3 linked regions of the Alligator mississippiensis genome follow. The protein of the gene in region 1 purifies or fractionates together with the protein of each later gene. This does not show direct contact. Links are inferred from orthologs where the notes say so. Each region holds a gene or a part of one and is shown in the gene's direction. Other genes may lie near its edges. The genes, in order: PRKAA1, PRKAG2 and PARS2.

The links.
Region 2: the proteins of PRKAA1 (region 1) and PRKAG2 purify together in Homo sapiens (affinity purification with mass spectrometry; 8 studies listed by BioGRID and IntAct, counting the BioPlex papers as one, with this or other methods). This does not show direct contact. The link is inferred for Alligator mississippiensis from reciprocal best matches to the Homo sapiens genes PRKAA1 and PRKAG2.
Region 3: the proteins of PRKAA1 (region 1) and PARS2 purify together in Homo sapiens (affinity purification with mass spectrometry; 3 studies listed by BioGRID and IntAct, with this or other methods). This does not show direct contact. The link is inferred for Alligator mississippiensis from reciprocal best matches to the Homo sapiens genes PRKAA1 and PARS2.

The regions. Positions count from the first base shown.
Region 1 is NC_081826.1:275,805,300-275,809,043, forward strand, and holds the start of PRKAA1 (5'-AMP-activated protein kinase catalytic subunit alpha-1), read left to right. Parts: upstream 1-1,453; 5' UTR 1,454-1,498; coding exon 1,499-1,628; intron 1,629-3,744. UniProt on the Homo sapiens protein: Catalytic subunit of AMP-activated protein kinase (AMPK), an energy sensor protein kinase that plays a key role in regulating cellular energy metabolism.
Region 2 is NC_081828.1:207,041,290-207,045,033, forward strand, and holds the start of PRKAG2 (5'-AMP-activated protein kinase subunit gamma-2), read left to right. Parts: upstream 1-1,489; 5' UTR 1,490-1,538; coding exon 1,539-1,640; intron 1,641-3,744. UniProt on the Homo sapiens protein: AMP/ATP-binding subunit of AMP-activated protein kinase (AMPK), an energy sensor protein kinase that plays a key role in regulating cellular energy metabolism.
Region 3 is NC_081828.1:11,064,378-11,068,121, reverse strand, and holds PARS2 (probable proline--tRNA ligase, mitochondrial), read left to right. Parts: upstream 1-1,434; 5' UTR 1,435-1,743; intron 1,744-1,879; 5' UTR 1,880-1,889; coding exon 1,890-3,326; 3' UTR 3,327-3,327; downstream 3,328-3,744. UniProt on the Homo sapiens protein: Mitochondrial aminoacyl-tRNA synthetase that catalyzes the specific attachment of the proline amino acid (aa) to the homologous transfer RNA (tRNA), further participating in protein synthesis.

The DNA.
Region 1 (3,744 bases):
TTGTTTTATGCCTTAGGCTCCTAATTTGTTTCACTTTGCATTATTGTTTTATTTTCCCTCATATAATGTGTAGATGTTTATATATCTATAATGCCTTCAGCGGTTTTGCTGCCAGTTCTTTATGTGCTGTCTCAACATTTAGTGCTGTGGATAAGACTTCTCATATTTGAACTCCGGAGGAAATGCATGATCAGGAGAACCTTAGTGACTCTCTCCTGTCCCCCTTTTGGCCTTGACAACTTGTTGGTTGACCTGAAGTTTGTTTGAAGCTCACCTCTTATCTTGGATGGCTCCTAAGAGTGTAAAACAGGGAAAAGACATTATGTGATACTTACAGCTCAAATGTGGCCGAGACACAGGCTACCACACTTAATCTCCCTGGCTGCCCTTCTGTTCAAACATGGCCCTAACACTGAAATTTGACTTTAAAAAAAAGTCACTGCATCACTGTCACAGGCCAGCTAGGCTCCTGGAAAACTGTGAGTTTGACTGGATTCAGTGGCAGTGGGAGTCCCATTGCTAGGAGTGTACAACCCAGGCTTTGTATTATGTCCAAGAAGTAGCGCGTGTCCTCCTTGCGGGTTTCTATTCTAAATTGTGAGTTCCCAAGCCTCCTTGTGCAGGTGCTACCACGGAGGTGGCAGGGTAGGTTCCTGCCTTGTAGCTTGTCCAAAATGTGTTTGGTGGGGTGTGGAGTGGAGGCTACAGATACACACGCATACTTTGGGCAGGGCACTTGCTTGGTCTAAGCTGAAGTGAGCAGCAGTCAAGGAAAGCGTGGGCGGGTCGGTGGCTTTCTAATGTAATAAAAGGCTTAGTCTATGCGTCTGTCCATAATACTTCTGGTCAACTTTGCATGCGCCCCCCCCGAAGGCAGGCGGTGATTGGCTGAGCAGCCCAGGCTGCACAGGCCCAAGTTTGCGTGGCTACCGGGGAAGCTTGCTGGTGCGGAACATGCCCTGGCTGCCGAGTAGCGGGGCTTCCCCCTCCTCCCGGACTGAGGGGGGGATCACTGTAGTGGTGTCGCCTGCCCCACCAGAACAGCTGGCAGGGAGGGAGAAGCGGCGGGCAGGGAGGCGGATGCGGGCCAGGCGGACCCGGAGCAGCAAGGGGGATGAGTGGGGTCGGACCCGAAGCGGCGGGGGGAGCAGGGCACACATTTCTGTGTCCACACCACGCCATTTCTATAAAGACGCACGGCGCGCCACGTGCACCGGGCAGACTCCGACCCTGCGCCCACCCGGGCGCTGGAGCCGACTCCTCCCCCTGCGCCCCTCCCCCTGGGGCCGAGCTCGTCCGCAGCCCCCAGCCCCAATGGTCCGTCCCTGCCCCCGCGCAGGTGGACGGTTCTACACTATCCCTCCCTCCCAGCACCAAATGGTTCCTCCCGGGGGAGCGCCCAGGGCTGGAAGCACCGCGCTCACTTCCGGGTTCCGGCTCTGGGGGGCGGGCACTGCGGCTGCTGCTCCCCGCCCCTGCCCCCGCCCGCGCCGGCGCTATGCGCAGACTCGGCTCCTGGCTCAAGATGGCGGCGGCGGATAAACAGAAGCACGAGCACGGGCGGGTGAAGATTGGCCACTACATCTTGGGCGACACGCTGGGTGTCGGCACCTTCGGCAAGGTCAAGGGTGAGGCCTGGGCCGCTCGCGGGGCGGGGCGGGGCGGGGGTCGTGCTTTCCCGCCCCCCAGGTGGGGGCTGGGCCGGGCCTGTGCGGGGGGCCCGGCTCTCACTGCGACCTGGGGTCCCGGGGAGGCTGCAAGAGTGAGGTGTGCGGTGGGGGCTGGGTCCCGGCACCAGCGCCGCACGTGGGAGCGGTGCGCAGGGGGAGCTCAGGGCAGTGGGCTGCGAGGCGCTGGGTGTCGGGGACAGCTCTTGGCGCAGGGTTGATCTTTGCCCTGGGCAGGGCGGGCGTGGGTACGGGCTTCCCGCTTCAGCGTTATAGCACACAAAAGTAATACAAGAAGAGCCGGCAGGCGTCTTTAGGCGTGATATCTTTTATTAAACCAACTAAATAGCTGGGGGAAAGCTCTCTGCAAGCTTTGGGGCACAAGCCCCTTTTTCAGGCAGTGGGAGACCAGACGAGCCAAGGTTTTCTGGAGCTGGAGCAGTAGAGCACACCGGCTGTGCAAGCGGTCCCTGGGATGTTGCAAACATTTGCAGGAACCAAATGTTGAACCTAATGGTTTGTCAGTGGGTGGTTCCTCCTGTTTTATGGCAGGAAATAACCCCTCTCCGGAGGCGAAATGGCTTGATTTCACTTTCCTGAAATCAGAAGAAAACCTACTTGCTGACGACTGGCATTGCACATGCAGTTACTAGTGACTGTGCTGCACTTGCATTAACATTTTTCTGAGTTAGGCAAGGCAAATACCACATTTAATAAACATAGTCTTTGCATGTAATATTTTGAGGTTTCTTGCCACTGAAATGAGATGCTCAAAAGGCTTTTTGCATTTCGTAGTTTTGTTTGCACCAGCACTGATACTTGGCATCCATCCAAGATGGGTAGGTTTTTTCACTCTAAGTGGGAAAAATAGGAATGGAAAAGTTTTGAAGTTCTTAAGATCATGCTGAGGGTTAGTGGCAGTCATACTCCACCTCAAATAAGGCTCTAGATTGTAAATCTGCTAGACAGGTCTGTGGCATGCTTGTTAAAATAAATATGGGCCTTTTTTAAATACTAGGGGCTTCTAAGGGAAGGTTTGCTTTTTAAATTGACCACTGGACTGTTGCAGAACTGAACCATAACCCAAGCACTATTTGCTTTTCTTCTTAAACAGTCAATGTTGACTTTGGTGTGTGTGGGGGAAAATTCCAAGCATGGCTAGGGAAACAAAAAAGACATCCAGAATGTAGTGAAGTTGTGATTTAACCTTAGTATTTTTAAGATGCTTAAAGGCAAGTATATTTGGGGAGCTTCTTGCCTTGAAATAAAAAGCACAAAAAAAGCTTAGTGTACCTGCAGACATGCCTAAGAAAGATTTCCCCCAGGGTTCAGACAGCATTGTTACGATTACACAAGCGAATGAGAGTCAGCACTTCAGGTATTGCTAGCAAACCCTGTGTCTAGCTGGCAAAAAACAAACAAACAAACTGTTGTACATATTACGGTACTCCCTTGTAATTTCTGCATTGCTAAAATTGTCGCCAGTCCTTTCTATAACGTCTGGCTGGATAAAATTAAGCTTTGAAGTTTCAAGAGACATTCAGACATCGCTTTAATTACAAGTAGTTCCTTATTGCATTGACTCTTGTTGGTGATCTTTTGTCTTGGGACATCTAGTTACCAATTCTTTGTAGTTCTGTTGAGGGCATGACATTCTGTTAGCAGGACTTCTTTTTGGTTGTTCAGCACTCTTAATTACTCTTGTTGGAGGGAGTGGTTTCCCTAAGGACAGCTTAGTTTTCTTACTTGCGGGCACCTCTAAAGGGCGTTTGACTACTTTGCTAAACTGTAAAAGGGGCATTTCCTTAAGTTTTCAAGTCAGCCTCCACAGAGAGGAATGCTTTTACTTCTGAGCTTTCTGCAGTCAAGGATGGAGAAGTATAAAAGTGAAAACCTTAAATGTTAGGCAGAAGGCAAGGTAGAGTAAGACAAAGCTTAAAATTTCCTTTGGTTGATCATTGTGGTGAGACTTCTACAGGATTCAGTATTCCCCCTCTTCCCTCCCCCCCCCCCTTCCCTTTTCCTTTTACATACGTGCTAATAGGCAGGTTTGCCTCTTCAGTTTTGGCTCTGGTTC
Region 2 (3,744 bases), on another chromosome or scaffold:
TGCTTCAGTATTCAAACTACCCTTTTTTCCCTGCAATTCTGGTGTAAGTTACCCACTCCTCTAATTCTAGCTAAAAACTTTAGCGCAGATGTAAAAATGACTGACAGCGAATATCATATTGGAAGCACTGTCAAGATGCTTAAGAAGGCTAGATTTCGTTTTATGACTCTGACTAAGAGATGTACATTTAACTGACTACAGGAGTAACGATACAGTATCTTTTGACTATTTTTTGACCAGTTTGTGTTGGATATTTAAAAAAATGTAATCTATATCCTAGCAAATTAGTGTGGATTCCAATCGTTATACTTGTTCTGGCTTTGATCTTAAACTGAATGATACAGTGCTAGCCCCTTCCCATATTAAAAATGCTTCTAATTTATCGTTAACTGGAGAAAAATGTGTTGTCACATAGGACGATGTGCCACACCATCTGCACCCGCTTTTGCAAAATCCCAGATTTCCCCATGACACTAAGCAATTTCTGAGTTCGTCATGGGCAATTCGTCAGCTCGAGAACGATCTCTATCACAGTTCATTGACGTCTCTTGAGATGACTTGAAAGTCCAATCCTTGAGCCACAAGATTTTCCCACAGAAGTTGCAGGGATTCCTCTTCTTTCCTTCCTCTGCTTTGAGAGAAGACATTTTACCTCAAAATGGGCTGAGGTTGCAGCGCCACTGGAGTCAGTCACCAGCCAGCTCCTCCATGCTCTTGGGGTCGGCATCTGGTTTCTTGAGGTCTGCCTTCAGTGTGTTCCTACGGGATTTCCTCCGACCACTGCAAGATCTCAGGCCTTTCCTCAGCTGGGAGCAGAGCACTCGTGGTGGGAGTGGAGAGTCGGGTGTCCGCACACAACGTCCGGTCCAGCGCATTTGGTGCTTGAGGATCCCCCGCTCCATGCTGGTAACGTTGGCGTCACAAGGATGCTGGCGTTACACACCGGGCTCCCAGTGAAAATGGAGTGTGGGGGCACTTTCTAATGCCCTAAAACACAGATCTGCCAAAAAGCACAGCCAGCGTTCGCATTTCCACCAACTCCGCTGTGCGCCCCAGGCTTCGCTGAAGCCGGTGTTACCAGCCTGGGGTGGGTGATCCGCCAGCACCGACCTCCTCGGCCCGGAAACAGACTTAGGCACAAGCTAAGTAAACTACAGCCCGCAGCCTGGCATTATGAGGGGCCTCTAAATACGAACAAAACATGTAGTAAAACCTCGCAAATCCGGCATGCTTGGGATGGAAATTTGAAAATGCCGTTTTGTTTTCAAACCGACACTCGTGGGCCGCTGCTGCCGGCCCGGCCCGGCCCAGCCCGGCCCTCGGGGCGGCCGTGAGGCGCGGCGCGGCGCCCCTGCGGGCGCTGCGAGGGAGGCCCGTTGGGCCCGCCCAAGGCGCGGGGGCGCGGCTCGTCCTGCACTCGAGGCGGCGGCGGCGCCTGGCTCCACCTGCCGGGGGCGGGGGCGGGGGCCGGAGCCGGGGCTGGGCCGGGCGCCTGTAGCGGGTTGTCGCCCGGGGGAGCGGTGCGGGGCCGCGGAGGCATGGGCAGCGCCGCCATGGACCCCGCCGGGAAGGAGGCGGCCGGCGCCGGCGGGAGGAAGGGCCCCGGCCACAAGAAGCGCGCGCTGCGGGTGCACATCCCGGTAAGTGCCTCGGCGCCGCGCCCGGGACGGCTGGCTCGGCTCGGCTCGGCTCGGGGGCCAGGCCTGGCCGAGCTGCGCCCCTCCGCGCCGGGGCAGTGCGGGGCACCGGCCCTGCCTCGCCCCTCCATCCCACCGAGGGAAATGCGACACGCCTCCCGCCCGCCCGCCCGCGGGGAAAGTTTCTTCCTGTTTGTGCTGCGAGAGCCGGGCTCGTCGCACCCGCCCGGGGCGCCCGGCCGCGCCGCCTGCCCTGCCCTGCCCGGCTTGGCCGCAGCAAGGCGCCGGGAGCGGATGCTCCGTGCCAGGTTTCCCGTGGTTGGTGGGTGCAGACAAGTGGAGGTGTCGAATGGGCGCAGGGCGGCGTGGGGCTGCGTGCCGCGCGTCCACGCGGGGCTGTCCGCTCTCGGGAGGGCGCGAGGCCCCGAGCCGCCCCGCGCCGACTTCCCGTCCCGCAGCGTTTCGGCGCAGGCGGCATCAGGCGAAACGAATCCCGTCTCTGCTTCGGGGCTTTCAACGCGTCTGTCGCTAGGGTGTCTAGATATCGGTAATACTTCTCAACTTAACAACCGTCAACCGATGGTCTTGAAGCATACGATTATTCCCATTTTACAGATGGGGAAGCTGAGGCATAGAGGGATTTATACACATACCTTTTCGCGTGCACTGACGTGCGCCGTGCTGCTTCGCGTGCAGTTGGATAAGTGGCAAAATGCGCAAGAAACCTCTGATGTGTTTTAGTTCAAAACGTCAGCGTTGACTCGCATTTTCCTGCTTGTACAGATTTGTATGCGCCGCAGCGCCGCGTGCTTTCAAAAGCACCCAGTGCTGCCGCACAAGCATGTGTACAAATGCCCCAAGTGACTTTCCAAATCAGTGTCTTGGACTGAGTTAAAAAGAGAGGTCAGATGTTTTGGCTCTTTATTTTTTCTCCCTAAAACTCAAGGCTGCCTTTCTTCTCCAGCCTCAATTTTGTCCTCAATGGAAAACCTTTAGACAAAGAAGATAATTCATTTTCCATGTCCGTTAATTTTTTTTTGCCTCCCTTGAACAGCCTGCTAATGTCGGTTGTCACTTGGCAAATGCTAGATATGTGAATATCTGCTGCTAAAGAGCCGATCTTGCTGTCGCTCAAGGCAGTCAGAGTTTCAACACTGATTTAGCTAGGAGCAACTGAGACCTGCCTCTCCTTCCCCTTGCCAAGCGGATAGATCCCCTCCCTCTTTTAGTGAAATTGGGGCCTGCATTCCTACAAATGGATCAAAGGGCCTAGACATTTCAGGTGTGGCTATATATTTATCAGCAGGTTTCTATTTTCTGGTATGTTGCGGTTTAATTGTGTTGAGTGTTTTTTTTCCCCTCATCCTTCTGGTTTGACAGTGGAATCTGCATTTGAAAAGATCCATTTAGACTGTGGTTTTTTTCCCTCTCCTCTTTCATAACACTTTCTTGGCTGTTGTTTTGGAGCATGATTTCTATTATTTCAGTGGCGCCTGTCAGTGCTTCTGTAGTTGTCAAGGGAGTTTTCATCAGGCAGTATTTTTTATTATGCTTATCCTCCTCCTCTTCGTCTAGCTGCAAGATCACGTCTGTTGCTGAGAGACTTAATTCTTGCTCGTTGAGATCTTTGAAGTAAGGCCAAAGAAAGGGAAGAATAAGGTGTGCATGGAAAGCAAGATGGAAGAGAAAACATGAAGGGAGAGACCTACAAGAAAGAAATGATAAAGATTAAAAGTCTGATACTGTTTGGTATCATAGTGATGTTAATCCGAGCCATTTGGTAAAGCTGCCCTAGAAAGCATTGACAATCATTAGCAAGAAGCAGAAAAAGTCTAAAAACTACATGAAAATGGGATTACATATAAGGGCAAAACAATGTAGCTAGCAGTAGTTATACCTGAATGGAAGGTGTAAAGGTTCTCTGTTACAGATTTTTCCTTTTTTTTTTTTTTTTTTTTTTAGGAGTTACCTAAACAGTGGGAATAATTGATGAGCTTGAAAAAAGCCTGTTTTGTCTTGGGTCACTGTGGAAGGATTGTACCTGTTTCAGATGAGTATGGTGGGAGGAACCAAGAACATAATATACCCACTTCTTTCAGAGCCACTG
Region 3 (3,744 bases), on another chromosome or scaffold:
TAGTTATGGTCACTCTAATAAGCAGTGGTCACTGCACACCAGCTGCCTAAGACTACACTGCCTTGTTTCAGCACAATACACATGAAAGTCAGCAATGATGCATCAATGTAGCTGCTGACTGGCTTGCTACAGGTTTGGCTGAGATGGTGGCACAATTTTAGCACTGCCCCTCCAACCTCTTCCCAGTCCTGAGCACTGCACGTCCCGTACTCTCCTGACCAGTGGCGGGCAACAGCCTGCACCTCCCCTAGACATGCTGCACTCCCTTCTCAGCAGCTTTCACCTGGCCCTGAGTAGAAATAGGGAAGAGATGAGCTATGGTTTGTTAGCGTCCCCGCTTGCCAAGGTATGCTTGTAGGAGGCAACTGCCTGAAGCGACTGTCCTCTCTTTCCTTCCCTAAAAACTCTTGTTCCCATGGGGGTCGGGCACAGTGTCCTTGCCTGGTTGATCTTCTCTGTGCCATCACCCAATCTGTTCCCCACTCCCTTCCTTCCTATCTCTTTACACGGCAGCCACGGCAAAAGGCGTGAAAGGCCCGGCACGCTCGGACCGTTCTCTTCCTCCCGCCTGGTTTACGGGGCAAGCTCCTGTACGCCGGCAGCTCTTCAGTAACAGCGCCAGTGCCTCCTGCTCCCCATCGTGGTGACGGTGGGGATCTTTTCCAGTCCTTGCTCCACTCACATTTCGGGCAGTTTCACTGGGCCACGTCCACTGGCTCTTTGGACTCGTTTGAGCACCAGCGGGCCCTGCCCAGCGCGGCCTCCCCTTGGTGCGCTCAGGCCCATCGCCCCCATCCCCGATTTCCCTTCCTTTTGTCCCAAGAAAGTAGCTGTTGCTTTAGTGGCCTCCCTTTCCAAGGGAGGCTTTAAACTTCGTCCCGGTGGGCAGCGATCCCTCGAAGGTAACAAATCCCCGGCGCGTTTCGCAGGCAGGGCTGACAGCCTGGCTTGAAACGCCCGTGCGGTGGCACAGACGGCCCAGGCGGTTTGGGGACGTTGGGGTGCTATCGACAGCTCCTGCCTCCAAGCTCTGCCCTGCTGCCAGGAAGGCGACTGATGATGTTTAATGGGAAAGGGGGGTTGCATCGGGCCAGGGAGCAGGGGCAGCAAGCAGAGCCCCCTGCAATTGCACATGCATGCTCAAACTGCAACCCTAGCAGCCCCCTCAGAGCTGGCCTTGCAAAACACCCCCTGCCCAGCAGGCAGAGCGCTCATCTCGGTTGCAACCCGTTTGTAGAGGCGATGCCCGCCCCAGCGCCCCCAGCCCCTGCGCAGTCAGCTCCAGGGAGCAGGACAGACAAAAGGATCATAGAGTTTGCCCTCCGAGCGGCAGGAGGGGTGGCAGGAAACCACCCCGCTAGCCGCCCTCTCTATGGTATGCTCCTTCCGCAGGGTGAGCATCCGCATCCGGGGTAGGGCACTGCGGTGTGACATGCGGGTTCGCTTTCATTCTGATTGGCTGGCGGCTCCGAACGCTTCCTTCCTGCAGGGAAAGCAGCGTGGTGGCTCTCCCGCACATGCGCGTGCGCTTCCTGTGCTCCTTGCGGGCTGAGCGGGGCTGCCCGGGGATCCCCGTGCGGAGCCAGGCTTCACCCCACGTTGGCTGCAGCTCGTGCATGTCGCTGCCCCCCGGGAAGCACAGGGTCTCGCTTCCAGGCACTTGGCCTCACTTTGCTTGTCTGTAAAATGGGTCTGTGACACCGCACAGCTCTTCTAACAGTCTTCCTGCTGCGTGGGTGCGAGGTGAGGTGTAAGCCCCGCGGGGGGAGGAAGGGAAGTGCGGGGTTGGTGGCTCTTCCAGCCCTTTGCCCTCGGTCGGGGAGGCGCAAAGGCAAAAGGACCTCAGTAACGTGATGCCCATGTCTGCGTCCTGCTGCAGGTTGTCCTCCATGGGCCCGCGCATGGGAGGGCTGCTCAGGAGGTGGAAGGAGTTGCTTCCCGGAGCACCGACCCACGCCGGGCCGGGGCAGCGCTGCCGCCAGGCGCACCACGATGGCTCCACCAGAGCCAGGCGAGCGGCTGTGTCCCAGCTCTACCAGCCTTTCAATCTTCGGGAAGACCACGCGGCGGACCCGGAAAGCAAACCCGGTGACCTGACGTGCAGAAGCCAGAAGCTGATGCTGCAGGCTGGCCTGATCTGCCCTGCCCAGAATGGCTGCTATTACTACATGCCCTACACCGTTCGAGCGATGGAGAAGCTCGTCCGGGTGATCGACCGAGCGATGCAGGGCATCGGAGGGCAGAAGGTCAACATGCCCAGTTTAAACCCTGCGGAGCTCTGGAGAGCCAGCGGGCGGTGGGATGTAATGGGCAGGGAGCTCTTCAGGCTGGCGGACAGACACGATCAGGAGTACTGCCTGGGCCCCACGCACGAAGAGATCGTTACGCATTTGGTTGCCTTGCAAGCAGCCTTGTCCTACAAGCAGCTTCCCCTCCTGCTGTACCAGATAACGAGGAAGTTTCGGGACGAACCGAAGCCTCGCTTTGGTTTGCTGCGCAGCAGGGAGTTTTACATGAAGGACATGTACACGTTCGACACCTCCGAGAAGGCTGCTCACCAGACCTACAGCCTGGTGTGTGACGCCTACTGCAGCGTGTTTAACCGCTTGGGACTTAGCATCTTAAAAGTCCAAGCAGACACGGGCAGCATTGGAGGGACCATGTCTCACGAGTTCCAGCTCCCGGCCAGCATCGGAGAGGACAGGCTCGTGGTCTGCCCAGGCTGCAACTTTTCTGCCAATGCGGAAACGATAAACTTTGACCTGACCGACTGCCCGGTTTGTCACGGAAAACTGACAAAGACCAGAGGGATTGAGGTCGGGCACGCGTTCTATCTGGGCACCAAGTATTCCTCTGTTTTTAACGCTACCTTCCAAGATGCCGAAAGCAAACACGTGCTAGCGGAAATGGGCTGTTATGGGCTGGGCGTCACTCGGATTCTGGCTGCTTCTGTTGAGGTGCTTTCTACGGAGGACAGAATCCGTTGGCCAAGCCTCATTGCCCCTTACCAGGTCTGCCTCATACCCCCGAAGAAGGGCAGCAAAGAAGAGGTGGGAGTGGCGCTGATGGAGAGCTTGTACGATGATATTGCTGATGGCGTGCCTCAGGTTAAAGGGGACCTGATACTGGATGACAGGGTTCACTGGACTATTGGTAAAAGATTGAAAGATGCTAACATACTCGGTTACCCGTACGTTGTAATAGCTGGGAAGAAAGTTTTGAATACACCTGCTGAGTTTGAAGTTTGGAGTCAGAACACTGGAGAGGTCTTGTTCCTTACTAAAGAAGGTGTTATTGAATTGTTAAGTAAAGTGCAAGTTCCCTAAATTTTGGTCTGCAGTCTTTGGTGTCTTCATGTGTATCCAATTCCATCAGCATGTATTCAGCACTATCTTTAAAAGTCATTTGAGGGCCAAATACAGCACTCATTAGAGAGGAAGCCTCACTGAGCCATTTGCAGCACGGTGCTAGAAATCGTGTCCTGAGCTAATCGTCATCAGATGGGGAATTTACTTTAACAAGAGAGTGATTCTTTTTTTATTATTATTATTCATAACAAAAACTCATGCTTAGTGGGGGACCTAAGAGCTTAATAAGCACACAGATCTTAAATGTGAATGTGCAGGACATTGGCTTGTACCTGCAGATTGCAGTCCTAATGCCCCTGGTGAGGTCAGGATAGGGAGGGGACTATTATGATTAGGTCTGCCTTTTCAGTGGTAGTCCCCTTCATGTAATCCTGGG